7 linked regions of the Callithrix jacchus genome follow. The protein of the gene in region 7 interacts with the protein of the main gene of each other region in a pairwise test. Links are inferred from orthologs where the notes say so. Each region holds a gene or a part of one and is shown on either strand. Other genes may lie near its edges.

The links.
Region 1: the proteins of TK1 (region 7) and GDF9 interact in a two-hybrid assay, tested with the Homo sapiens proteins (2 studies listed by BioGRID and IntAct). The link is inferred for Callithrix jacchus from reciprocal best matches to the Homo sapiens genes TK1 and GDF9.
Region 2: the proteins of TK1 (region 7) and MAGEA4 interact in a two-hybrid assay, tested with the Homo sapiens proteins (2 studies listed by BioGRID and IntAct). The two-hybrid records come from large-scale screens. The link is inferred for Callithrix jacchus from reciprocal best matches to the Homo sapiens genes TK1 and MAGEA4.
Region 3: the proteins of TK1 (region 7) and TUBB2A interact in a two-hybrid assay, tested with the Homo sapiens proteins (2 studies listed by BioGRID and IntAct). The link is inferred for Callithrix jacchus from reciprocal best matches to the Homo sapiens genes TK1 and TUBB2A.
Region 4: the proteins of TK1 (region 7) and RBM48 interact in a two-hybrid assay, tested with the Homo sapiens proteins (2 studies listed by BioGRID and IntAct). The link is inferred for Callithrix jacchus from reciprocal best matches to the Homo sapiens genes TK1 and RBM48.
Region 5: the proteins of TK1 (region 7) and CCDC90B interact in a two-hybrid assay, tested with the Homo sapiens proteins (2 studies listed by BioGRID and IntAct). The link is inferred for Callithrix jacchus from reciprocal best matches to the Homo sapiens genes TK1 and CCDC90B.
Region 6: the proteins of TK1 (region 7) and COPS6 interact in a two-hybrid assay, tested with the Homo sapiens proteins (2 studies listed by BioGRID and IntAct). The link is inferred for Callithrix jacchus from reciprocal best matches to the Homo sapiens genes TK1 and COPS6.

Annotation. Positions count from the first base shown.
Region 1 is NC_133503.1:75,578,910-75,583,296, reverse strand, and holds the start of GDF9 (growth/differentiation factor 9), read right to left. Parts: upstream 2,898-4,387; 5' UTR 640-2,897; coding exon 243-639; intron 1-242. Other genes in the region: UQCRQ (cytochrome b-c1 complex subunit 8), read left to right, coding at 3,272-3,425, 3,868-3,962. UniProt on the Homo sapiens protein: Required for ovarian folliculogenesis. Promotes primordial follicle development. Stimulates granulosa cell proliferation. Promotes cell transition from G0/G1 to S and G2/M phases, through an increase of CCND1 and CCNE1 expression, and RB1 phosphorylation.
Region 2 is NC_133524.1:148,218,932-148,222,308, reverse strand, and holds the end of MAGEA4 (melanoma-associated antigen 4), read right to left. Parts: intron 2,265-3,377; coding exon 2,200-2,264; intron 2,125-2,199; coding exon 1,097-2,124; 3' UTR 539-1,096; downstream 1-538. UniProt on the Homo sapiens protein: Regulates cell proliferation through the inhibition of cell cycle arrest at the G1 phase. Also negatively regulates p53-mediated apoptosis.
Region 3 is NC_133505.1:27,486,440-27,490,893, reverse strand, and holds the start of TUBB2A (tubulin beta-2A chain), read right to left. Parts: upstream 2,876-4,454; 5' UTR 2,795-2,875; coding exon 2,738-2,794; intron 1,452-2,737; coding exon 1,343-1,451; intron 1,007-1,342; coding exon 896-1,006; intron 1-895. UniProt on the Homo sapiens protein: Tubulin is the major constituent of microtubules, a cylinder consisting of laterally associated linear protofilaments composed of alpha- and beta-tubulin heterodimers.
Region 4 is NC_133512.1:57,087,145-57,090,207, forward strand, and holds part of RBM48 (RNA-binding protein 48), read right to left. Parts: intron 2,799-3,063; coding exon 2,653-2,798; intron 802-2,652; coding exon 233-801; intron 1-232. UniProt on the Homo sapiens protein: As a component of the minor spliceosome, involved in the splicing of U12-type introns in pre-mRNAs.
Region 5 is NC_133511.1:57,102,995-57,106,785, forward strand, and holds part of CCDC90B (coiled-coil domain-containing protein 90B, mitochondrial), read left to right. Parts: intron 1-866; coding exon 867-981; intron 982-3,791.
Region 6 is NC_133503.1:13,492,981-13,497,429, forward strand, and holds the start of COPS6 (COP9 signalosome complex subunit 6), read right to left. Parts: upstream 2,994-4,449; 5' UTR 2,981-2,993; coding exon 2,914-2,980; intron 2,692-2,913; coding exon 2,566-2,691; intron 2,373-2,565; coding exon 2,241-2,372; intron 1,594-2,240; coding exon 1,505-1,593; intron 1,405-1,504; coding exon 1,342-1,404; intron 1,091-1,341; coding exon 1,043-1,090; intron 955-1,042; coding exon 840-954; intron 755-839; coding exon 662-754; intron 562-661; coding exon 461-561; intron 331-460; coding exon 190-330; 3' UTR 1-189. UniProt on the Homo sapiens protein: Component of the COP9 signalosome complex (CSN), a complex involved in various cellular and developmental processes.
Region 7 is NC_133506.1:133,958,984-133,962,774, forward strand, and holds part of TK1 (thymidine kinase, cytosolic), read right to left. Parts: intron 906-3,791; coding exon 816-905; intron 478-815; coding exon 358-477; intron 259-357; coding exon 67-258; 3' UTR 1-66. UniProt on the Homo sapiens protein: Cell-cycle-regulated enzyme of importance in nucleotide metabolism. Catalyzes the first enzymatic step in the salvage pathway converting thymidine into thymidine monophosphate.

The sequences.
Region 1 (4,387 bases), on a different chromosome or scaffold from region 7:
CCTTGAAAGCCATTAAGTCTCCGGTGTCACTTTAAAATTCCATCATGTAAGCCCACCTTAACGAAGGAGAGCATTAGGAACAAACAATAAGCTCAAATCCCAGATTTGTTTCAGTTGGATACTGAGTTTTATGGAAAATAAAATGCAATTCAAGGAGCTAGACTCAGCTCCTTTCTGTAACTGAAATGCAGAAGTGTTTATCATCCTCCCTCCATCCAGTTAACCAATCTGCTTTTACACACCTGTTACCTGGTCTCCAGGAGCCTGCTTGTGCTGGGTACAGGGGGTGAAGAGCCGAATAGTGTTGTAGAGGTGACTTCTATTGGATTTAGGAATCCCTTCCTTCGTAGCATATGTGTTATAGAGCTTCTTCATGTAGTGCAAAGCTCTGGAGTCTGGCTGCAGCCTAGGTGCCCCACCTCGCCCACCAGAGAGAACTTTGAAAAGCGGGGGAAGGAGGCCAGCTCTGTCTCTCTCCTCTATAGGCTGCAGCAAGGACCAAGGCTTAGCCTCAGATGCCAACTCAGCACTAGCAGCAATCTGAGCGTCTCCCCTAGAAGCCTGAGAACCAACACTAATAGGAAAACATAGCCAGGCAAAGCAGCAAAACCAAAGGAGTAATTTGCTGGGAAGCGCCATGGCTTGGGAGAACTAGCGAGGAACATATTTCTCCATGCCAGTCCTCTTCCTAAAAGCCAGGAAGAGCCTAGCTTGGTTTCTTAAATAAATTTTAGGTGTGTGGGTGGAAGAGCATCACCTCTGTAATCAGGCCTCAAGTATGCCTAGCTGAAGATGATTTTTATCAGCTCTATATCAAGCAGCTGATAACACCTTATTCAGCCAATCTATTCACCAGCTAGAGATTGGTTATTTAGATTTCCTCCCTTTTCCCCTGCCATTTACTTAAAACCTGTCATTGTTATAGTACTGGGCTAGCTACTAAGCTGAAAGTCCAAGATAAATTGAGGAATTATCTTAAATCTCTCAATTTTTGAGAAATCTGGATTCCTAAAATGTTTGTTAGGTGATTGCTGAAACTTCTGAGGCATGTGGAAAAGCTAACCAATTATTCATGATGATACTCAGATCTGTTGCTATGCAACGAACTTATGGTATTAGCTTTACTCTTCCTCTTAATTTATCCCCACTGCCTCTTCCACTTCCAGGTGTTTACAATATGTAATTATTCACTGCATGTTAATTTGAGGGGTGAGAAAGTCACAATTGGCATAGAAGTTCCCAGTAGTCCCAGGTGGCTGGGTACAGAATATGTACTTGGAGTATTGCAATTGTATTTGCAATGTTCCTAAAAGAGAAGGACATTGCCTTTAATCTTGATTTATTTTTAAATATAACATCTTGATGTCCTTACTTTGGTCTACACACTCATTTATATGTATTTTGGTTGAAAGGTTTTGGGATGTTTGCAGATGCTATAAAATAAATGTTTTATTTTTTTATTATTCATCCAAATGGTGGTAGAATTCGCTATAGCATTTCTGTCCTTATCTGTATTTCTGTTCTTGCCTTGGAGCTGAGACCAGGCTAGACATTATGGCTTAGAAAAATGAGGCAAAGGAGCACCACAAAAAGCTGAAATGAGGGGATATTCAGCGCCACCCCGAAGGAGAGACTGCTGGAAGAAAGTCAACTCACACCCATAGTACAAGATACAAAGCCAGTCTGTGCAGTAGCTAGATTGAGAAAACTAAGGTATGTATGCAAAATACAAGTTGACTGCCTGCTGAGCCTCCGTGGTCCGTAAGCAGTGTTATAAAACACACTCATGGCCGGGAGCGGTGGCTCAAGCCTGTAATCCCAGCACTTTGGGAGGCCGAGGCGGGTGGATCGCGAGGTCCAGAGATCGAGACCAACCTGGTCAACATGGTGAAACCCCGTCTCTACTAAAAATACAAAACATTAGCTGGGCATGGTGGCGCGTGCCTGTAATCCCAGCTACTCAGGAGGCTGAGGCAGGAGAATTGCCTGAATCCAGGAGGCGGAGGTTGCGGTGAGCCAAGATCGCGCCATTGCACTCCAGCCTGGGTAACAAGAGTGAAACTCCGTCTCAAAATAAATAAATAAATAAATAAATAAATAAATAAATAAAAATAAAACACACTCATCTGTTGATTGTTTGGTCCTAGATTATATATGGCCAGCAGTTCCACTAACAAAACACTGACAGCCGGCGCGTGGTGAGCTGCACAGGACAACAGCATCGTTAAGTAGAATGCACTTCAGGGAAAACACAAGAAGGCCTCTCACTCGACATTCCTTGCTTCTCATGTGGGGATAGGAAAGAACTGGGGCATGGTGATACCCCCCACCCCACGCAAACCATCTTGGGAGGAGGCTGGCTGCTGTCGACGCAGCCTCAGTGTTCATCAATTGCTTGATGATTATTTGATGATTTTTGTGGCTGAATTTCAAGAAACGTTTTTATTATCTCTTGGGACTGTTTACAGCCTGCCGGTGGACTCTAAAACAGAAGTTACCAAGAAAAGCCTTAGATGTATGTCCCTGATTTTGGTGCTGGGGTTGCTGGTGGCCTGAAAATAACGGAGCCCCCTTTGAGCTACTGGCCAAGACCAAAGTGGTCTGCTGCGGGGTGGCCTGGCCTCAAGACGCAGAGGCACTCTGTCCACAGCCGGGAGTACTCGGAGGCCCCAAGCTCCTGGCCAGCGCGGCCCCCGAAGTCGACAGGCCCCTTCCTTGTCACTTCTTTGTCCCCTCACCCGCCTCCCGCATTCGACCGCTTCCTGATTGGACTCCACAGAAAGGCCGACGGCTGAGGAGAAGTATGAGCGCCTCCGCCTGTCCACTGCTTCCCAAAGCCCGCTCAATCCCCGACGTCCTCCGCTAGGCTCCAAGCCACAGGCCCAGGGAGGGCCTCCAAGGTACCACCCACCTACGGGTCACCCAGTCAGGACACTTCTTTCTGGGACAGAGGCGTCACCCCCTAGAGACAGCAGGAAAATGGTATCTCCCAGAAGTGACCTCACGTCCTCCAAGAGCGGCTTCCGATCTTACCGGAAATGACGAACGAGTCCACCGGATCGGTGACTACGGAGGGGTCGGTGACTCCAGTGAGTGAGTGGCGTTTGGTTGTGCTGTTAGTGTACCGTGGGGGACTCTCTGGGCTGGGGAAGGATAAGGATTGCAGGGGCAGGCGTCTGGGGTTGGGGACAGATCCCCGCGGGGACTGCGGCGCTTCGCGAAAGCGAGCCAAGCGCCCGTCCGCCCTCGGTCCTGCAGGGCCGCCGCCACCATGGGTCGCGAATTTGGGAATCTGACGCGGATGCGGCATGTGATCTCCTACAGCTTGTCACCTTTCGAGCAGCGCGCCTTCCCGCACGTCTTCTCTAAAGGAGTCCCCAACGTGGTGCGCCGCACTCGGGAGTCTTTCCTTCGCGTGGTGCCGCGTGAGTGCCCAGGGCCCGCGGGGGCGGGAGGCTGGATTCCAGCAGCAGCAGTAGCAGCAGTCACTGCGGCTCCCCTATGAGCGGGGGCGGTCGGGCAGGCGCTCTGTAACTTGCAGTACACACCTTTCTCGTTGAATATTCGTGACCGCCCTTAAGCTGGTCATACTATCCTCCCCATCTTAACACGGGGAAAACAGTTACAGAACTGAAATGACTGGCTCAGGGTCACTCCGTCACTCGAGTGATTCCAGCATGTTCCTCGGAGGTCATCTTTATCCAGTTCTTAACAGTGGTGAAATGCTTTGTAAAACATGCCGCAGATAGTGATGATAGTTGCACGGCCTTGGATATGCTAAGAACTACTGAAGTGTATACCTTAAGAGGACTAAGACCTTTTTTTTCTTCTTTGTGTCTTATATGTGTGCTCTCTTGGTTTTTAAAGCGTTTATAGCGTTTTATCTTCTCTACACATGGGGGACTGAAGAGTTTGAGCGATCCAAGAGGAAGAATCCAGCTGACTATGAAAATGACAAATGAGCCACGCATCCGAATGACAGTTCCCTGACTCTTAAAAGACCTTTCTCTGGAAGAGGAGTCTGCATTGTAGTCTCTTAAAGACACAGTAAACTTCCTATGGTCTGCATTGTTGTGATTTTACCTTTTTGTGAACAGAATCCTGTGTGACCCCTAATATTCAAGTTCATGAAGCTCCCCTCTTCAGCATGAGTCTTGGAAGTTTTTACCTGGTCTAGGGTTTTAGTGAAGGAGCAGGGCTCGCCTTTTGTTCCATAATCTACAAGAAAGTAGCTGCAGCTAACCATTTGTGGGGAACATGGGCTATGGGGAGTGCTGGTTCTAGGTCCTCTGCTGCCATAACAATAAAGTCTAGTAACTATATTGTAATTACTATATTTCAGGTACACTTTTTTTTTTTGAGAGGGAGTTTCACTCTTCTTGCCCAG
Region 2 (3,377 bases), on a different chromosome or scaffold from region 7:
CCTGGCCAGTGGTTTCTGGGTCTCCCTTCAGGGGAAACACACCCTTATCTCATGGAAAACCCTTGCAAATAATGGGTGTACATCACCTAGCTCATGCACTGTGTTCAGCAACACTGGGACAAAAGTGTAAGACACCTTCCATTCCTGCCCCATGTAGAGGCTCCTCTCTGTTCATCCACCGTCGAAAAGGAACTGCTCAGAGCAGTTTTCTAAACCAGGCTTTTCTCTCACCCTCTGAGAATCTGGCCCTGGCCCCACCAAGCTTCATTAGAATCAAATCCCTCAAAAGAAAATGTAGTTTCCCAAAGCCCAAAAGGCCCCACACAGGGAATTTATACTCCACCACTCTCACCTGGAGCCCCACACTCACACCCCTCTTATTTTTCCTCTACATCTTAGAGGACTTATCGCCACCTTGATTATGTGACTTCAGCTCCTAGACTCTACCACCTTCTATGGGTAGGGTGAGACTGGCTTACCTTAGCATCCCCACTACCAACCCAGGGCCTTCCACAGAGCAGATACTCAGTGCGTAGAGAAGAAATGAGCCAGTGAACAGGGAGAATTGTTTATTCAGATTTAAATTCTGTTACATTCACAAAGACGCTAAAGGCAATCCAGGTATGCATATATGTTTTTTGAATTTTACAGAATACACTGAGGTATAAGGCAAGAATTAAGTATCTTTTAATTTATCTCACGTATTTTACTGTGAATTCAGTCACCATTTTTAACGCTTACTCCACTGCTGTTACTATGTCTCAATTCACAAAATAGAATGGATTTCCCAATCTGAATAGAAAACAAGACTTTTACTCCTTAACTACATAAACACTAATATAGTTGACTACTATAGATAAACTTGTATGCTGAAGTTCAACCATCTATTAAAGGAACATTTAAACAATTCTAAAAGAAACAGAGATACATCTCCAAGTCACTCAATGAAACAGAAACCCACTACTAAGAGCGCTGACTACTCAGAGAGAAGAATGGGCCTCAAGGCACACGAGGCAGGGGAAGCTGCTGGACAGGGCCCTGGAGGTTGAACTGGCCCAGTCCCCTTCCCCTGGCCCTGGCTGCAACTCACTCGTCGTCAGATTCCCTCTTCCTCCTCTGTCAAAGCTGCATCATGCAGGGATGGGTAGGGAATACGATCTCTCGCATTGACCTTGACAACATGCTCCAGGACCTTCACGTAGCTGGTTTCAGCAAGGGCCCTTGGGCCCCATAGGAACTCATAGCGTGCAGGATCACTGCCGGGCACCTGCCGGTACTCCAAGTACTTTTCTTGCACCCAGTCTTGGGTGAGCAGCTTCCTGGGCTCCCCAAAGACACTGTGCTCCTTCCCATCATACACCTCCATCACACTCAGCTCCTCCCAGATTTCCTCCTCAGGGGCGCAGTCGCCCTCCATTGCGATCGTGCCCAGGACGAGTATCAGGAGGCCTGTCTTGGGCAAGATGTGATTACCACCCCCCAGGCCATCGTAGGAGAGGCCCAGGCAGGTGACAAGGGTATAGGACTGGTCGGTGGAGTCCGGATCGTTCACATCAATGCCAAAGATCATCTTCAGGGACTCGGAGGCTTTGCCGAAGATGACAGGAAAGTAGCGCCTGTAATTTCTTACGGCCTTCTCCAGCATTTCTGCCTTTGTAACCGGCTCCTTGGCTCGATACTTGAGGAGCAGAAAATGAGCCAACTCATCCACCTTCTTACTGAGTGCCTCTCGGAACGCACACTCTGGGTCAGGAGAGGTGCTTGGCCCCTCCTCCTCTCGGCAGGTGCTGCTGGAACCCTCACTGGGTTGCCTCCAGTGAGTGAAGTTGACAGTAGTCGGGAAGGCAGAGGCTCCCTGAGCACTCTGGGGAGGACCTGTTGACTCAGCAGCAAGCACCTCCTCCAGCGTGCCTGGGATCAGAGTAGAAGAGGAGGAGGCGGTAGCCTCCTGCTCCTCAGTAGTGGGAGCCTGTGCACCGACCAGGCCCAGGGCTTCTTCTTGGGCCTCAAGACCTTCCTCAGGCTTGCGGTGTTGACTCTTCTCAAGAGACATAATGACTCTGGTCAGGGTCAGAACAGTAGGTGGGAGTGTGGGCAGGAGCTGGGCAATGAAGACCCACAAACCTGGGGAGAGAGGAACCGTGTGAGAGGCCTCAGCTGAGAACCGAACGTTGGAGACGCTAACAAAGGCTTACTTACCGATCTCCTTGGTGCTCCCCTGTGCCTCCAAGGAACCTGGCCCTCCCAGTTGGAGAAGGGGGAACCTGAAGGGGGAAATGAGAGGGCGCCTCAGGGTATACAGCCAGCCAGCAGAGGTCAATTCTGCAGGACTGACAGTAGGGAGGGTGAGGCCACACTCTCTCAAGTCCCATGTGTCCTGCGGCAGGTGGGACCCTTGGTGTGCATTCAGGGGAAACAGTCACTGCTGGCACGGCCTGTGCATCCTCTGCTCTGTAACCTGAGGCCACTGCCTCAGACCAAAGCCCCACTGCCTGGTTCCTGGAGCTCCTGGGTGAGGAATCCACACACCCTCAGGGTGCAGACTGCAAGCACAGCCCTAGCCCCTCACTGCTATCCACCACTGGACTCTGTAACATCCCTACTTTCATGGAGTGGATGGTCCCCTCTGTCCTCACGCAGGGGCCTCACATTTTCTGGCAGGGCCTGAATCCCACCCTTTTTGCTGCTCAGGGAAATGCAGATCAAGAACTCATATCCCTGATAGGGAACAGAAGGACAGCAGGGGACCCACATCTGGCCACACGTGCCTAGGTCCATCCAGGAAGAACAGCAAGAGGTATTAAAATTCATTGAAATTAATGCGTCCTGGGCGAGGAGACTGCTTGGTCCTCACCTTGACCCCTGGCAGGGCCTGGAACTGTCCCTCTACTGACCTGGGTCCAGCCCCCTCAGAGCAAGGCCTCCCCCTCCATGACATCAATGATCCCAGGATGAGAGAGGGACCTCTGCAGACAGCCAAGTCCATGCTCTCTGGGGTGACAACAGGAGCAGGGCTGGTTTCTGTGGGGTCACCATCTGCCTTCTGGCCCTGGGGTACCCTCAATCCTCCCTCACATTCCTCACCAGGACTCTTGGCAGAACCTGGGACCACTGTGTCTGTTGACCAGATAAGGATCCCTGTGTTGACCTGAATCACTCTCTGAGAACAAGGTCCTCATTGAGCTGAAATCTGCAATCAGAAGTGAGAAGTAGCCATATCCTGTCATCCCTGTGTGCTGACACCTTTGGTTCTGGAGTGAGGGTTCTGATGGGTGCCTGTGGGTTACTCATCTTTACTCCTGATGGGGCTCAAACCCCCTGAGATGAGCAGATATTGTCCCTTTATTCCAAAACCTCATCTCTCTGAAGGTTCCCCA
Region 3 (4,454 bases), on a different chromosome or scaffold from region 7:
GGACTGATCTTACACTGGCAGATTCTTCTCTTTTGAATACTCTTCTATTACCTAAAGAAATATTTTTGTCAGTGAGCCTCAAAAACATGGGCTCATAATAAAGTAAAAAGCAAGTTTAGCTCATCTGAGGCTATTGACTGAGGAAGAGGATAGGGTTAGAAAACTTAGTTGGTTCTGAAATACCTACTTTTTTTTTTTTTTTGAGATGGAGCCTCACCCTGTTTCCCAGGCTGGAGTGCAATGGCACATCAGCTGACTGCAACCTCCACCTCCCAGGTTCAAGGAGTTCTCCTGCCTCATTCTCTTGAGTAGCTGAGATTACAGGTGCACACTACCACGCCTGGCTAATTTTTTTGTATCTCCAGTAAAGACAGGGTTTCACCATGTTGGCCAGGCTGGTCTTGAACTCCTGACCTGATATGCCTGCCTCGGCCTCCCACCAAAGTGCTGGGATTACAAGTGTGAGCCACCTTGCCTGGCCACAGTTCTGAAACATACATTTTAAACAGGCATTCTCTTTATATTCAAGGTGACCAGGAGAGAAGGTGGCTTTAGCATCAGTCTAAGCTCTAGTCATAACCTGTACTTTTGGCCCCTGGCTCTTTGAAGTCCTTTCAAGTTGCCTGTAGCCTATGAAACCTGGCCTGAAGCTTTTCCTTGCTCTTTCTTCCAGTCTGAGGCTGCTCTGTAATGGGAGGGCTGCAGCAGCCCTCTGCAGGCTGGTGTGGATCTCTGAGCCATGACCACCCGTGGACTGGGTGGAACTAGGCCAGGACTCAGGGCTGCCCGTGGACACAGTGTCACCTTGGCAGTGAACACTAAGAACTGTGCTTTGCAGGGCTGTGAGGAAGAAGGTGTGGCATTTGGCCAGTTCCCACTGATGGTGACTACATACCGAACACGAAGTTGTCTGGCCTGAAGATCTGGCCAAAGGGTCCAGACCTGACGGAGTCCATGGTGCCAGGCTCCAGATCCACCAGGATGGCCCGAGGTACATATTTGTTACCTGCAGGGAACGAGAACTGACTCAGACCTGTACTTGGGGGGGACTCACAGCAACATTCATTAAAGACAGCTCCAGCATCTGAGACAAAAGGAGAACAGGAGGTTCTCTGCTTTTAAGAAAAAGGAGGTCTTGAGTGTGCTTAGCCGTGGCGAACAGGCAGGATTCTTAGGGAACCATTACGTGTGTTTTTCCAGCAGTTGGCATTTGAAATGAATATGCAAGAAGCATGCCTTTGTCACGTGCATGTTCCTAGGACGGTTCATCTCCCACAGCATGGGAAGCAAGGATTCCTGTTAGGAAGAAGGAATGTTCTTGCTAACACATCCCGCTACTCACCAGCAGCCTCATTGTAGTACACGTTGATTCTCTCCAGCTGCAAGTCACTGTCTCCATGGTAACTGCCTGTGGGGTCGATCCCATGCTCATCGCTGATGACCTCCCAAAACTGAAATGAAAAAAGATCCAGACCATGGCCCAGCGTCCTGAATGTCACTAAGGATGGCCTTGTCCTCCTCCCATGTCCTTGGAACAGGGGCTTTTGTGGTCAGACGGTAAGTGCTAGACAGAGAGCAAAGAGCTGCACCCCCTATTTCCTGCAGCAGCCACTGCTGAGGGGCTTGAAAATCCGCAGAGCATCGGCCATATTATGGCGATAGACTGAAAGGCTGGGAGGGGCCCTGGAGGAGGAGGGGGCACAGCAAATGCCCTTCTAGAGAGAGGGTCAGGAGGGTAGAGAGGTGGGAAAGTGGTACAGGGAGGCTCTGTCACCCCAGGCAGGGCTGAATGCCATTGCATCGGGGATGATTGATGGGTCGTGGCAGGACTGAGGACAGGGGAGCCCACACTGTGGCAGCCTCCAGGAATCAAGCTCTCTTGGCATAGATCCCAGGCACCCCTGCAACAGTGCAGGTTTAAGCCACCGATCTACATGCTGGCACTGACCACAAGAGAGACTGGGCAGGGAAGGGCAGCAGGAACCTGGGAGGACGCCTGGGTGGCAGTGGAAGGAGCTGGCCATGGTGAGGGCGCTGGCTCCATTGTGAATTTAAGACAGGGAGGGGGCGGGGAGGCTGGGTGGGCAACATGGCGGTTCTCAAAGAGACCACGTCCTTGTACAGGCACCACCCCCACCCATGCAGCAAGCCGGCTGCTGCCTCCCACACAGCGGTCGGTAATTGCAGCCCCCACCCAGCACAGTCACCTGCCACCTCAGGGACTGGCAGCAAGACTATGGCGTTATAAGACTTCATGTCTAGACAGTGCCGGAAATAGGGAACAAGGGAATTTATCTAACACCCTCGCCTGTGTGACCCAAAGGGAAGCCTCTGTTACACCTGTCAGTCCAGTGACACTGCATGTTTTCATTCAAACCGTTGAGAAAAATGTACAAATTAAATATCTCATGAAGCTAGCGGAATAAATATGACCATATCCTCGCCCCAAGTTTCTGAGACTAATACACCCAGCGGAATGCCAACTGCGTCCCGCAGAAGGGCTGTGTCCCAGGGAAATCGAAACGGCGCCGACTAAAGACTCACACGGCTACGGGGGCCGCGGGCATCCTGGCGGGTTGTGCAGCCTCCCCCGCCTTGCCCGCCCGCCTCTCCGCGGAGTGTACCACACGGCCAGCCCCGAGCCACCGAGGCTTCCCACACCCGCCCCTGCCCCGACCCCGGCCCCAGCCCGCACCCTCCGTCACCAGCCCGGGCCCCTCCGCGGCGGCGCGCCCACCTTGGCGCCGATCTGGTTGCCGCACTGGCCCGCCTGGATGTGCACGATCTCGCGCATGGTGCCGGCTGCGGAGCGGGTGGCGCTGGCCCTCGGAGCGGTGCGCGGCGTGGACCGGCGGGCTCGGCTGCGCAGAGACCTGCCGCCGCCCCCCAGCTCCACCTTTTATAACCGGGGACCTGCCCTACCCTGCGACGTCATGATGGGCGGAGCTGCGCCCGCGCGAGAGGCGCGGCTGGGACTGCGGCACCGCGAGGGGGAGCCAGGGCGCGGTGCGAGATGCGGGGGCGCTCGACCGGTTGCGCCTGCCGCTGGGTCCCGAGTGGGCGCCCGGCCTTGCTGTCTGGCGGCCAGTGTGATGCCCGGACCTCAGGCCCAGCCGCAGCCCCCTGCTCGATCTGCGGGCGCCGGCCTCCCCCTGGCTCTGGGTTAGCTCACGCCGCAATCCCCACCCCACCCCGCCTACTCTGGACCCTAGAAGAGGGGCTAGAGACTGGAGAGGCTGCCTCGGAACAGGGTCCTAGCCCCCAGGGCCGGGAAGAGGCGTTGAGTACCATTTGAAGTGGGGAGCTGGGAATTGAAGACCCATTTACAGAGGAGTCTCCAGCGGGTGGAAAGGTTTCCCGCATCCTAGGCAGGAGCTTGGACTCTGCTCCCGCTCCATCCCAGCTGGGACGCCGGTGCTGGGTGGCGGGGACAGCGTGGAGCGGAGTGGAGAGCTCGGGGGAGCCGACTGGCAGCTGCTTGAAAGGAATGCCAGGATGGCGGGGTGGGTGGCCTTTCGCCCCTACAGGGAAGAAAGATGGCTTTGTGGGGGGCGGGGCGGGGGCCAGAAAAGGACTGGATTTGTCACATGTCCTGGGCTCCTGCGCCCTTGTAAAGGCCTTTTAAATGTGGAAAATTCTGTGTGTGCGTCAGAGAGGAGAGACAGGAGGAATATATCTGCCACGTTGATGTGTTAGCCTATGGCCCTGCCCCCTTACACCCCTTAGGTCACCTGATCCTCACAGAAGCTTTCAGAGCTGGGCTATCCAGTTTGGTAGACCTTAGGCACCCGTGGCTGCTGAGCATTGCAACGTAGGTTGTCTGAACGAAATATGCTGTTCAGTGTGAAGTACACACTGGATGTTATGGGCTCAGTAAGTTAAAATAATGTGAAATATTTCTTTATTTATTTGTTTTTGGAGACGGAGTCTCACTCTGTCACCCAGCCTGGAGTATAATGGCTTGGTCGGCTCACTTTAACCTCCGCCTCCCGGGTTCAAGAGATTCTCCCCCTTCAGCCTCCCAAGTACCTAGGACCTACAGGCGCATGCCACCACACCTGGCTAATTTTTGTATTTTTAGTAGAGACTTTCACTATGTTGGTCACACTGGTCTCAAACTCCTGACCTCATGATCCACCTGGCTTCGCCTCCCAAAGTGCTGGGATTACAGGCGTGAGCCATTGCACCTGGCCTTCATTACTGATTCTTAAATATTGATGGCCAATCAAAATAATAGTGTTTTGGATACGTTGTGTTAAATTACTTGTTTTGAAATTAGAAAACGCAAAATTACATACATGGTTTCCATTTGCTGCTCACTTATGCATATTTTTGTTGACTACCACTGGTTGGGAGTAACCATTATTAATACCCCAATTTCATAGCTCAGAAAGCGAGGCTGAAAGACCTGACCAGCCACAAAGCTACTATGGGAAGGAATCTCAAGTCTTTGT
Region 4 (3,063 bases), on a different chromosome or scaffold from region 7:
GTATCTACAGTGACATAAAATGTTCATTGTTTAAGCAAGTCTTAACAGTATCAAAGCAAATAAAAATGTGAGCCAAATTCAATTATTTCAACAGAGAACCGTAGAAAAACACGTCAAAAAACTAAAAGGTGAAAAAAAAATTACTATTGTTCCCACAAATAATTCTCCATTTAGTTAGTCCTGTAACCAAATCGTCTCTTAGAACAGTTTTTTTTTTAAAAAATAACCTTACCTCTTTAAGTTTATTCCGAATTAAATTTGCCGTTGTATTCAATGAGTCATCATGCATATCCACTTTAGATATGTCTGGTAACAGAGGTCCAATCATAACCTCATTACTACTTGGGTTTGTTTCAAGAAAAGTTCCAAGTTTACGATCATCTTCTCGTCTTCTTTTGCGCTCCTGCAGTTGTGTTGTCCTAGGCATAAATCTGTCAACTGCCTCTGAAGGAATAATAGCCTTTCGTGCACCCTGGCAGTCTACTGAGTTTTTGAAAGGGTTTATCTGTGTTTTCTGCAAAGAGTCACTGTGGTTATAATGCTCCATTGTTTTATCATGGTTTCTACCATACTCAGAGGAGTTTGATGCTCTATCTACATGCTTCCCAGATGAACACATACATTTTGAGGAGAAATAACATAAAGGCAATTCACAGGAATATGGAAGATAAGGATATGAGTTCCCTGCAGAAGTGTTCAGAGCAGTTGTACAAAATCCAGACATCTCTGAGTGGAAGTCTTGTCTAAAATCCTCTGTGTCTTTATGCTCTGTAACCAATTTCTTCTTTGTCACATAATGGTCTTTTTATTACAATTTAAAAGGTGAGAGAAAGGAAAACAGAGGTAGTTTATTGTTTGCATCATTCAGAATCATATAATTTTAAAAATCACTTAAAAATGGTAACAAATTCTACACCAAAAAATCTATTTCTTGAGAAGGGAATATATTCATGTGGTTTAAAACCTAAAATGGATAAAAAGATATGTAGCATCAAGTGTCACCCTTTCCTTGCTCTCCATGGGCCTGGTTTCATCCCATAAGTAAGCGCTATTGTTCTTTATTTATCTGTTCAATATGCCTTACTTTGCTTCCTCCTACCTCCCATTCTTTTTCTCCCCACTAAAAAAGGTAACCTGTAATATGTACTTCTTCTGCACCTCTGTATTTTCCACTTCACTGTAGATCTTATATAGTTTTTCCATATCATTATATACAATCCTTTTTTTTTGCAATTTCAGAGTATTCCAGTCATGCTGCCTAGCCTGTGTTTGTTAGTTATTAAAGAAAGCAATATGTGTGGCTTACTTCTAGGGCTGGAAAGGACCTCTTCCCTGGTTTACTCTCCCAAAAGCAGACTAAAACATCAGTGGGGTGCGGAAGATGTGGTAAAGATGAAATTGGCTATCTGTTGATGATAGTTAATGTTAATACACGGGAGGTATGTTATCTTAGTTTTTCTACCTGTGTGTTTTGAAATTTCATTAATAGAAGTTTTTGAAAAGACCAAATATACAATTATGTGTAGATGCTAGAATGCTGCAGATAAAATAGAGCTTAACTAAAGTGTTCAAGGCCAAAAAAGTCATAGTTTAACAACAATGAATCTAATTCCGAGGGGGCAGGGCAAAAAGGTCTTAAGGGTAAGGGGAGCAAATAATGAAGATAATGCTAGGCCACCACTAACATTGAGATGATTAAAGCAGTTTAAAAGTAAGCTCTGGACAGGGAGTCCAAAGCTTGGGTTTTAATCCTTATTTTTGTCCTTAATTTATCTCTAGTAATATAGGCCAGTCACAAACTCTGAGACTCAGCTTCCTCACCAAGAAGTAGGACACAGGTCAGATAATGTCAAAGGTCTTCCTCCACACTAATATTTTATAATTTCCTTTCCGTTTTCTATTTTTTTTTTTTTTTTGTATATTTTATAATTTCCTTTGCCACACAAATATACAAATTTTCCTGGTGCTATTTACATATCTTACAAATTAATGTCTACAAATGACTGGGGATTCTCAACAGCTCTCTTGCCAGATTTCTGAGTAAGTTTTCCAAGAGTTTTCTCACTTTATTTCTCTCTACCACTATCTGGTAGAAGGGGCATGTGGGGCATTTATGCGGTTGCTTGGTCAAAAGTAGAACTTCTCCACGATTAGCAGTGACAATTAGTCTGCAAATCACAACTGCCCACTGCATTCTGGTCAAAGCCTTAATTCCTTAGCAGGGACACAAGGCCCTTCGTGATTTACTTCCTATCCACTATTCTAAACTTATCTGTCACTGAAACCTCTGGGCTTTGATTATATTGTATGAGTTAAAGTTTCTTAAATACATGATGCTCATTTATTCCTCTAAGCATTTAAACATCCTGCCTGGCTTGCCTTTCCATCTTTTCCTCTCCCTTCTAAGTAATGTCTACTTATCCTTCAAAATTCAGCCACTTCTAACAGACTGGATGAAGTCTTCTATGAACCAATATTTCTCCCTTCTCAACCCAGATTATGTAGTACGCTGCAGAGAACTCTGTGGTTTACACTTACTGAATACTGTGATGATTTACTTGCCTCTCTTCCCACTAGACTGGGAACTGCATGATGACACACTTGGCAGAGTGCCTGACACACAGAAGGCATTTAGCAATATGCTTTCCATACCTCTATTTTTAGTAGTTCTTACTACATATGCCTTTCGCACTGCTAGTTTTTTTCTAGTTTCTTCAACTGTTTCAAATTCTGGAGCATAGCACACATGAAGCAATCCACCGAAAAAACTCTGTTCATCCATTTTTCTCTTGGCTGTCCTGAATGGAAATACAAGATAGCATGGTTTTTTTAAATCCAGATTTACTTACAAATGAGAGCTTAACTAGTATACAATACCTGGAGCTAAAGCCAAAGTCCAGCTTTTGCAATGTGTATGTATATATCCTGTGGACTGGGAATCAAGATGCTCTGTTTGTGGATGGTATTCATACCACCCATCCAGTATGTACTCTTAGAGCCTTCTCTTCCCTTTAAACCTCTTGGATTTGTTCCCTAGTCTTTAAGCAACTAAGGACCCAGCTG
Region 5 (3,791 bases), on a different chromosome or scaffold from region 7:
GACACAATGAGGTTAAGGTCACACAGTAAGTGGTGGCACTAGGAAAAGAACCTGTAGTCTAAATCCCAAACTAGGAACTACTGCTTTCCTTGTCAGTAATCCTGCAATGTAATTGCGACTTCATCTCTATGGCTTGAGTGAAACCCCACTTTCTGACTCAGCCTTGTCCTTTTCTTAAAAGTTCAGAGCCATTTGTACACATTCTAACAGAAAATATGTCACTCTTGCTCATAATTTAATAGAAGAGAAGGTCACACTTGTTCTTTCAAAGATCTTATTCTCTTCTCTTACTTCTTGGCCAGATAAAGGAGATAAGCAAGGAAATCAGCAAAGTCTTTTACAACTACTTTCTGTGATCTAGGTCTCATCTCTCCTCCCTACCTTTTGTCCTCTCTACATGTATCAGTGTTATCCATCAGGTATTTCTTCCAATGTTTTTAATACTGGTGCCAGTTGATATATCTGGTTTTTTTTTTTTCATTTGTAGATTATATTTAAAGTTTTAACCATAATATCTTAAGGACTTTGCACACATAAAATGATAGTTCTGTGACTTAATTTTTGTTTCTCAGTTTATCATCTTACATATTTAGGTATCAAATATGTTATTATGAGGTTTTTAGTAGAATATTCCCAGTATGTGATAATCCTAAGAGATGATCTCCAAAGACGAAAGTAGAAGGAATGTGATTTGTCAGTTTGTAGGGTTTTTTTTAATTTATTTTTTTTATGCCACTATGCTTTTACTGTTTCTCTCCAACTAAGACTTTTGTATCACAGCCCATAAGTGAGGGTTTCTGATGTAAATGTTTTTTTGTCCATTTAAACAGGGACAAATTATGTTCTCTTATTCTTGTTTACTACAGGATACCCAAACCAAAAGTATTATTTCAGAGACCAGTAATAAAATTGATGCTGAAATTGCTTCCTTAAAAACACTGATGGAGTCTAACAAACTTGAGACCATTCGTTATCTTGCAGGTAAGACTGTTAGAGAAAGAAACTGCTGTCATCTAGTTATCCTGTTAGTACCTACCTACCAAGGTAACTATGCAGGCACGGGGGAAAAAAAGGAGCTATAACAAGGCTCCTTTATTGCTTGGTCCCTGTAATGCTTAAAGAAGGTTCTAGTCTCAGGATATATTTTGGGGAGTCTTGTATTTTTTTTAATTACTTGCAATTTTTATTACAGCAGATTACAAATTAGATCCAGCCAAAGGAAAAAACATATAGGGTATAGTATTGGACAGTTCTCAATGTGAAGCTTCTGTCATCCTCACAGATGTGTTAACCTTCAGAATACAAGTGTAGCAGGCAACTCTGCAGCTTACTAATAGAAAAAGCATGTGGATATAAAAGAAGCATATATACAATGGGAATAATTGGATTTAAAAGTTTTTTTAAAAAGAAAGAAATATATAAACACAAGCACAAAATAATAGAAGGATAAACTGGATATTCCACAGCGAAATAATGAAAATTTTCTTTTTATTGCTCATGTTCTTCCACAAAGATTTGAATGAGGTTAGAGAAAAAGATCAATAAAGTAGATATAAGCTCATTAAAAACCTGAAGGGGGGAGAGACGACCTCCTACCTTGAATCAACTGATGCAGCTTAGATACTACCCCAAAATTAGATTATTTGTCACATACTGAGCTTCTCAAGTACCATCTGACCTGACCCAATTATAGGGCCCCAGTAGTTAGAAACAATGCCCTAGTCAACTATTACTTGTCTTTTTTCTTTCTTTTTATAAAAAGTATTTTCATTATAAATTATTCATAGAATTTAAAAGCAGTAAAAGTGAAAGCCCCTCCCCATGTGTATTTACTATTAGTAGTAAACATTTCTAGGCTTCTTCTGTATATAAACATTTTATATACTTCTTAAAAATAATTAGATCACATATTTTTATATTCTACAACTTTTAAAAATTGAACCAAATGTCTTATTTCTTTCCACATCAATACACACAGACATCATTTTATTAGAAAGCACAGTATTCTCTATATGAAAATGCCAAAATTTATGTATCCAGTCCTCTATTAATAGGCATTCTCACTCCAGTTTTTCATTATTAAGGACAATACTGTATTGAACAGCCATATATATGTGTATGCTTGAGTAAAAACACACACATCTTTGTGCAGTCATTTCTATATAACAACTTGCTATGTACATTTAAAATTTGGGGTCAAAAAGATATGCACATTTAAAATTTTTGACATTAACAAATTGCTGTCTAAAAGAAAACTGCAGATTTATACTTTTAGTCATTTTCTGGGCAGTCACCACTGATGTTGAGGTGCCAGCAGGGTTGAAGATGGAGCCCGCAGACATCAGCTGAACCATGGAAGGGGCACGGGGCACAAGTAAAATAGCCTACCTACAAGGGTACTTGGAATCAGAACTTACTCTTTAAATCTGTGAATGTGTACCTCATTTGCTCATACCAGCTTTCTCCATGGGTTGGAAACATTACCACCTAGACTCTTTTATCATTCCACTTTCACTAATCAGGAGAGATTGCCTTCTTTCTTTAGTTCCAATTTTTAAAATCCTCAGAAAGGAGTCTGAATGGTTCATCTTGGGTCATATACCACCTTTTGTCCCAGAACACTGCTGCCAAGGAATAATGGCAATTTCCATTCAATCTATGTGGTTAATCTCTGTAGAAAATGTGGCATATTTTGTTCTGGGCAGATAAATAATGAAAACTAATGTTTACAGAGTGCTTAAAATGTATCAGGCACATGCTCACCTAAGCATTTTACATATATGTAGAACGTCTCTCTAGACAGGGTATAGAGGATAAACAGCAAATTTAAAAGAATTTGGGAATGGCTCCATAGTTACCACAGCAACAGCCATGAGAAATAAAAGCTGAAATAACAGCAGCAAGACATGAGAGAGAAATTTAAATGCAGTCGATTGTATAGTCTACCAAAGGATCAAAATGCCTGCTACCTCACAATAAATGTTCATTTTGGTTATCTAAAACTTAATTTATCAGCTGTTAAATCAGCAGAGGATGTAACCACTTAGCACTATGTGGCTCAAATAAATGACAGATTGAGTCTTGCCAGTGTCACAATATATAATAAGGGTAACAAATCTTTTGTGTGTTTTTTTATTAAAAGAAAAAAACAGCTTTAGAGTCAAGTACACTTAGTCTTAAATCCTGTCTTCACTGCTTGCTAGTGATATAACTGGGCTTATTACCTTATCTGTACAATGGGGATAATACCACCAATCTCGTGGTTAAATAGATAGTGTATGTAATTGCTCAGCACACTAGCACACTACCTGACATGTGGCAAATAGTCGCAGGATCAACCAGTGGCAGTAAAACAAGAAACTCTTAGTGTTATTACTTCTCAAATGCCCTTCTCTATATGTCTTAGAGATGCCTAATGCCGTTTCTTAAAATTGAGAAAATAATCTTATCATTAACCAAGTTTCACTAAGTAGTAGGATCAAAGGGAATGGTATACAAATGGGTTTATATATTATGAATAACTTTACTTTGAAAGGCTTTCTTGTGTCTTTATTCATAAAAGTTTTCCCTTCATCTCTAAATTGTCTGTTTTTAAAATTCATTAATTGGTGTTTTAAACAAACAGGAGACTAAGGAGTCCCCAAAGGCCTCACTCAGTCTTACCTTCTAAAAGCTGGGAAAACAGAAGCTTTTTTTATCCAAAATGATGTAACATAAAGTACAGCTAGTATATTAACTATTTTAAAAACCTGATGCTTTTTCTGCTTTTCTTCTACTTGAGTTTAAAGAGT
Region 6 (4,449 bases), on a different chromosome or scaffold from region 7:
GCTGGAATGAGCTTTGACGAACATCCAAGTTGACAAACCAGTGTGGTGCCTAACAGAGAGGACAGAGCCACCGGCAGGGGTGCTCAGGGGCTATTCCCCCTTTTATTAATAAATGACAGCGGTTTCTAGTGCCCCCCCGCTTTGGGACAGTTGCCTGACCCCTGTCCATCATCCCTTCAAGTACCCGCATCAGAAAAAGAGCCCGCGCATTCGCCTGCCAATGCCTTGTCGGTCGTAGAGGACGTTGAACTTGTTCACAAACTGGTTCATGGTGTTGCACGTTTTAGTGATGGTGCCGAGGTAGGCCATGAGCCCCACATCATTGCATTGCTGGGAGGGAACATAAAGGACCAGTTCTTCAGGGGATCTCTTGTGGCATGCCCAGGGAACAACAGTCCCCAGTCCTGCATGTGAAAGTGACAGCATAAGCCCCACCTCCCCATCTGGGTTTTACACTCACATCATAAAAGTCTGTCTTGAACTTGTCTGTGCTGAGCACTGGGAGGCAATGACACAGAGCATAGGCCTCCCGCAGGATCTCATGATTAAAGGGGACCTCTCCTAAAGGCACAAAAAGAGGCTGCATTAATTTGGATGCTGTCACTTCCCCAGAAGGGAGAGGAAGAACCCCAGGGAAGTGTCAGGGAAGCCCTTGACCTACCTGCTTCAGAGGCCTTGACGTACTCCAAGATGAGCTTGACGCGGCTGTGCAGCATCTTGATGGCACTGTGCTGTGCTATCAGGTGTTCAGCCACTGCAAGGGGATGGAGACAGGAGGAGGTTGGGACAGGATGTGGCCACACATTCCACCCCCACTTCCAAGGAATCCCCTCCGTTACCGGTGGAGTTCTCTCCACTGCCTGTTGCTGTCATTCGGGCCACGTGGTCTACACCAATGCGTTCCGCTTCCTCTGTGGCCAGAGTGTAGGTCAGCTCAGCAAACAGCATTGTGGCCTACAGGGCAAGGTAACCCACAAAGGGAGAATCAAAAGCAGGAAAGAGGACAAGAGCAGGATGTGAGGGTTGAAGGGTAGGGTTTTACCTCTCCGTTGATTATATCAATGACAGACTCAAAAACGCTGACAGGAAGCTGTGGAGGAGATGGAGAAACCTGAATACTATCTGCCAACATTGGGGCTAGTCGATTTCACACATTTCCTCTCAGCTAATTTTCCCTAGAAACCAATGAAGTAGGGATTACCTCATTTCACACAGTTTGGAGATTAAATGACTAAGCCAGAGTCACAGCAGATAAGTGGCATTTGGCATTCCCCAATACACCGTCACACAACAAAAGGTACAGCAACAATTATGACACAGTAGGCATGGGATATTACTTACATCTGTGTGCTTGGTCATAGGGTTCAACTTCAGAAAGAGGGGGCTCTCAATGATCTCACACACCTGAATGAGAGGGACGATGCACAGGAAGTCAGTGCCCCCCTTTCTCCTTCCCCTCATCCCCCATTCTCTGCTTCAGCATGCACAGGTGTGAGATGTATACCTGCTTGTGGACGTGGATGTCCGAGGGGTCAGGTGGCCCCCCTGTGGTATACCAACCCAGAAATTCCAGCTCCTTGAACACCTGTTTAACTGAAGGGGAAGGGACCAAAACACATAGTAATTATTATTATTATTTTGAGACAGAGTTGTTCTGTTGCCCAGGCTGGAGTGCAGTGGCGCAATCTTGGCTCACCACGACCTCCGCTTCCCAGGTTCAAGCGATTCTCCTGCCTCGGCCTCCTGAGTAGCTGGGACTACAGATGCACATCACCACATGCGGCTAATTTTTGTATTTTTAGTAGAGATGGGGTTTCACTATGTTGGCCAGGCTAGTCTTAAACTTCTGACCTCATAATCTGCCTGTCTCGGTCTCCCAAAGTGCTAGGATTACAGGCGTGAGCCACCGTCCATGCCCAGCCTGACATAGTAATACTTTAAGCCATCTTTCCTCTGTGTGAAGCTCCTGGTGTATTTTCACCAGCTTCTCTCCCCGCTCCTCAAATCCTGGCTCAGTTTAGAGTAATTACTCCCTTCTATCCTGTCTTTTATCCTTTACTTTCTTTTTGGGAAAGAACTCTTAATGTGTTCTTTTTCTGAGATCTCTCCAGCAATTCTCTTAACCTTTTCTTCTCTGTTCTTGGCCTCCTCTCCTGTTTATTTCCAACCTTCTCCATCTTCCCCACCCTGTACTTTTTTTTTTAACTCCCACTCCTCTTCCCCACGTCTATTCCGCTCACACTGCTCTTCCTTGGTGTAATAATATTCCTTGTCAATGATAATCTTCTCTTCCACCGTGTGGGACAGCAGCTCAAAGGAGTTCATCACCTCGATATTTCGGCCCTCCTGCTTCCCAATCAGAGCCCCAATCACTAGGAAAGAGAATGACATGGAAAAGGTGAGGGTAAGGAAACTTCTATCACCTAAGGGTCTGAGGTCAGTGGGAGCCAAGTACTGGGGAAACGATGACTTGAGGGAGGGGGAACTGGCTCCAGTAAAAAAAGGGAAAGACGACTGGGGGAGGTAAGCAAGGAGAGGAGACTGGAGGCTATGCCCAACACTCACCCTGCACAGGCCGCCCCTCCTGGGAGCGCATGCGGATCCAGTGGTCTGAGATGTTGAGAATGACAAGGGGATGGAGAGCGACGGATACACTCCCAGTCACTCCGGAGGCCATCACGCTGGGGACTACTAAGGGTGGAGGGAAAGTAGAGAGGGTGAGAGTCCGGGCCCCACGTCCTTCCCTGGAGACGGCAGTGGGGGACGACGGAGCCCGGCCACACTTCCCTCCCGCAACTTATCCCAGGGAAAGATGTTGCTGTTCCGCCCTCCTCCCTTCTTCTGGGAGCACAGGGAGGCCTCAACGCACCCCTGAAGGAGGTCTCTGGAAGCCACCCCCACACAGCCCGTTACCTGCTGCATCCACCTCCATCCCGCTGCTCCCTCCGGTCCCGTTCGCAGCTGCAGCTGCCGCCGCCATTTTCCTCGCGCCCGCCGGCCTCGGCCCCGCCCCCTTCCTTCCCGGCTTCCGTAAGGTGAGAGGCGCATGTTCAGTGTCCCCGCGGCGCGCGGCGGGCCAGGAGTCCCAGGAGTAGGTAGTTCACTGGCTTGGTTGACGGTTTTCTGGCTAAGGGATCCCGACGCCCTCGCGGGTTTTCGCAGACCTTGTCCCCTCCTGACGCCTGCGGGTAACGTTTGACAAATTACTTAACGGCTTGATAGTCCTCATCTGTAAAATTGAGATAAGAATGCCTAGTTCTTTTTTTTTTTTTTTTTTTGAGACGGAGTCTCACTCTGTTGCCCAGGCTGGAATGCAGTGGCGCGATCTCAGCTCACTGCAACCTCCGCCTGCCGGGTTCAAGCAGTTCTCCTGTCTTAGCCTCGCTAGTAGCTGGGACTACAGGCGCACACCACCACGTCTGGCTAATCTTTGGTATTTTTAGTAGAGACTGGGTTTCACCGTGTTAGCCAGGATGGCCTCTCTCTCGTGACCTCGTGATCCCCGCCTCGGCCTCCCAAAGTGCTGAGATTACAGGCGTGAGCCACCGGGCTTAGCCAAAAACGCTTAGTTCTTAAGGCTGTTGCAGAATGAATGAAATGTCGTGTTACTGCCCTCACAGTAAAATCCAAACAACCGACCACACTCTGCAAGGCCCTGCCTGAACTGCCCTGGCCTGACCTCTACTTTTCTAGCCCTTGATATTCACGCTTCAGCGGCACTGGCCCTCATGTCTGGTTTTGTTGTTTGTTTGAGACAGGATCTCACTCCATCTTCCAGGCCGGAGTGCAATGGTCTCATCTCAGCTCATTGCAGCCTCAGACTCCTGGGCTCAAGTGATCCTCCCACCTCAGCCTCCCAAGTAGTTCGGACTACAGGTGCGCCCCACCACACCCAGCTGATTTTATTATTATTTATTTATTTATTTTGAGACGGAGTTTCACTGTTACCCAGACTGAAGTGCAATGGCACAGTCTCGGCCCACCACAACCTCCGCCTCCTGGGTTCAGGCAATTCTCCTGCCTCAGCCTCCTGAGGTACTCCTGAGTACCTGGGATTACAGGCACGCGCCACCATGCCCAGCTAATTTTTAAAGTATTTTTAGTAGAGACGGGGTTTCACCATGTTGACCAGGATGGTCTCGATCTCTTGACCTCCTGATCCACCCACCTCGGCCTCCCAAAGTGCTGGGATTACAAGCTTGAGCCACTGCGCCCGGCCGTGTTTTTAGTAGAGATGTTTCACCTTGTTGACCAGCATGGTCTCGATCTCTTGACCTCGTGATCCACCTGCCTCGGCCTCCCAAAGTGCTGGGATTATAGGCATGAGCCACCGTGCCCGGCCTATTTTTTAATTTTGGTCAGAGACGGGGGTCTCGCTAGGTTGTGCAGGCTGGCCCCCAGTTCCCGGGCACAAGCAATCCTCCATCCTCGGCCTCCTAAAACACTGAG
Region 7 (3,791 bases):
AGCGTGGAGAGCAGTGTCCGCTAGGCGGCAGCGGCTGGAAGAGAGTGAGCAGCCCTTTCAGGCCCCTCAGTTGGTGGAGCTACATTGCAGAATCTGCTGCGGGGCAAAGAGCTTCCTGGCAGCCGCAGCCTCCCCTGGCTTTCCTGGCACGGGGCAGTTCTCTTTGTTGTCCAGCCCGGCAGGCTGGCCTGAGGCCTTCTTGAAGTAGCAGAGGCGACACACAGAGTGATACTTGTCTGCTCCTCCAATCACTTCGACCTAGCCGCAGGGACAGGGGATGGGTGAAGGGCCGGGACAGGAAGGAGACAGAGCCACGCCCCCACCCCACCAGCCCGCAGGGAAGACAGGTGGAGGTACCTCCTTTTCGGTGCCAAGCCTCTTGGTGTAGGCGGCTTCCCGGAAGCACTCCATGCATACTGCGGTCAGCTTCACCACGCTCTCGGCCAGCGGCACCAGGTTCAGGATGGTCCCAAATGCCTGCACTCCCATGGAAAGACAGTGGGTGCTCGGCTACCTTCCCAGGCGGGGTTTTCTTTTAAACCCTTTGATTCATAAGCACTGAAGCCAGGAAAGTTTGCTCTGACCTCAGTCCTCCCCCAACCCCCAGAGCACCATGCCTGGCTTTGTCTCCTTGCCAATTCAAACCACCTGCCGCAACAGATGGCACCTGGTCTGCATAGACCAGGGAGTCCCTAGGCTCAGGCAAGGACTGGTCTGAGCAGCTCAACTGTGCCCCTACAGTGGCTGGGCCCTGGCCACCCAGAAGCCCCCTCCCCTCCTGGAATCACGCTCCAGACCTGGATCAGACACCTTACCTTCCTCTGGAAGGTCCCGTCCAGTGCAGCCACAATTACTGTCTTCCCGGCGTTGGCCATGGCCTCACAGAACTCCACGATGTCAGGGAACTGGAAAGGGAAGGTGGAGAAAGCGTGAGAGTTTCCACCCTAGCAGCAGCTCCCTGAAGTCCCAGCAGAGACGCTGCCAGATCAGACAACTCCCGCCATTCAGCCTGGAGCAACTCTAACTCTTCCATGAGGTTCCTCAGGCTGGGGACTGTCCATGGGTGCCCTCCCAGCAGATGACAGGCACATCCACAACTGCCCAGCCTCTTCCCTCTGCAGCCAGCTTCTGCTCCGAGTCCAGGTACCCAGGACTCAGCATCAGACTTCCACACCTGCTGTGCTGTTTAACACTGCAGCGGCCAAAGGCTGGGGCCAGACATCTGCTGCCTGGGGCTCGGACACCGCTATTCCGAGCGGACACCATTATCTGTGTGACCTTGGCAGTGAGTTAACTTCTCTGAACCTGTTTCCTCTTCACTGAGCGATAGCAAGAAAGGTCCTATTGTGTAAGGACAGAAGGCACTAAGTTATACACATGCACTTCAGTGAGTAGCTGGGCATTTTGTGCTCTTGCCCCCTCGCCTTTTTAGACAGGTAATGTGCCTTGAGAAGGTGTGGGGGTCCTCCTGGCCATTTACAGAGCAGGATGACACAGCACAGCCTTCTAAATACAGGGCCGGCACAGAGCACATTTACTGCCTACATCAAATTTCACTTTGGCCCAGGGAGAAGCTGAAACTCTAGCAAGTGCTTTGGTGATTCTCATCAATCAGTCATATTGCTTTTAGCTGGTTGAGTTCACATGTCCAGACTGGCCTTTGGGTTGGCTGAAGTGGGGATGTTCCTGTCCTTGGGCACAGGTCTCTCTCCAGGAGCCCCTCAGGCTTTCCTCAGCCCAGGTACTGAGGTTTGAGGTTATTAAGACATTAGGGCTTAGCAAGGCGAGGACTAGGGGATAACTGGAAAAATTCCAGTGGGATCCAGGTGAAGCCTGATGTAACCGACTGCGCTCAGCAGACTGCAGGGGCCTCTAGAAAGAAAACCCAGAGACTCCAGCACGCTGGGCCCTGCCCCACCATGCACGTGTTCTCTCTTTTTCTCTGAGGATTCATCACATGTCACAAAAAGGCAGCTCCCAGTCTTGCTCCCCATTGCCCAGGCTGGAGGGCAGTGGCTCAACCATGACTCACAGCCTGGACCTACAGGCTCAGCCGATGCTCCCACCTCAGCCTCCCAACTAGCTGGGACTACAGGTATGTGCCACTACTCCTGGCTAATTTTTGTATTTTTGGTAGAGGCAGGGTTTCACCATATTGCCCAGGCTGGTCTCAAACTCCTAGTCTCAAGCAATTTGCGTGCCTCGGCCTCCCAGAGTGCTGGCATAACAGGCATGAGCCACTGTGCCAGACTCTTAAGTTTTTCCAGATTAAACTTACGAAGTCTCTAATCCAAAAGGCTCCAAAACCTGAAACTTTTTGAGTGCATACCACAAGTGGAAAATTTCACACCTGACCTTATGGGACAGCTCACAGTCAAAACCCTGGCTCATGCCCAAATTACCAGATAGCATATAAAATCACTCCCAGGCTATGTGGATAAGGCATCTATAAACATATCGGATCTTGTATTTACAGTTGGGACTCATTCCCAAGGTCTCATTATATTATATATATGCAAATATTCCAAAATCTGAAAAAATCAGAAATCCAAACACTTCTGGTCCCAGGCATTTACGATAAGGAACATTCAACCTGTATTACTTGTGTTAGTAGAACAGAAAACACAAAAAACCGTTTTTTGGTTTTTTTTGTTTGTTTGTTTTTGAGACAGAGTCACTCTGTCACCCAGGCTGGAGTGCAGTGGCATGATCTTGGCTCACCACAACCTCTGCCTCCCGGGTTCAAGTGATGATTTTGCCTCAGCCTCCAAAGTAGCTGGAATAATAGGTGTGTGCCACCACATCCGGCTAATTTTTGTATTTTCAGTAGAGACGGGATTTTACTATGTTGGCCTGGCCGGTCTCAAACTCCTGACCTCAAGTGATCCGCCCGCCTTGGCCTTCGAAAACGCTAGGATTATAGGTGTGAGCCACTGTGCCCAGCCAGAAAAAAAAGTTTAAAAAAATCAGAGCTTCCACTATTGCCAAGCAACCCTGCAGGCCCGCCAGACACTGTACAGCTGTTGATGAACGCATCGGGGAGGTGCTGGGGCCAGGGTGCTCACCCACCACCAGCATCTGAAGCACAGCACGCCCAGCTAGTGGCTTTGGGGTCTCCACATGACTCTCTCTTGCATGCCAACAATTTCTACAAAGCAGTGTGAGCGCCACTGTGCCTCACCCGGCATACAAAGAAGCACAGAAGCTTCTGACCTAGGGCCTTCCTCAGGATGGCATGGTGGCTACTCTATGAAAGGCTTTCCCTGCTGACCCAGAAAACAGGAACAAGGCAGGTCAGGCTGGGCTTCTTCCACTGTCCACGTAGACAATGAAGGAGGGAAGGACAGTCCTTCTGTGGGTCCCCATACTAGGAACCCCTCTCCTCCATCTAGAAATGCTTGCAGTGGGAAGATGCTAAACTTCTAGAAAGGAACAAGGGCACACAGAATGGCACAAGGCTGATGTCTGGATATGGGGTGTAATAAGCACTCCCTGAATGAACTAAAGTTTTACTTGTGGGCCAGGGAGGAAGTAGACTGAGAAATCTCTCCTTCAGGCTGGAACGGGACAGGACTTAATATGCTGGCTCCTGGATGTTACGGAAGGAGGAAGGAGAAGGGAAAGGTTTCTGCCTGGGGGGGGTCTGGGTCAGCATCTGTCAACAAGGTTTATGCAGAGCCAGAGCAGAGCTCTTGAGCAACTCACAGTGGCAGGTCTGAAGGCAGGGAGAGCCTCGCCAAAGCTAAAGCTTCCTTGCTCTTCCTTGTTCTGAGAGGGCCATGCCCCCAAAG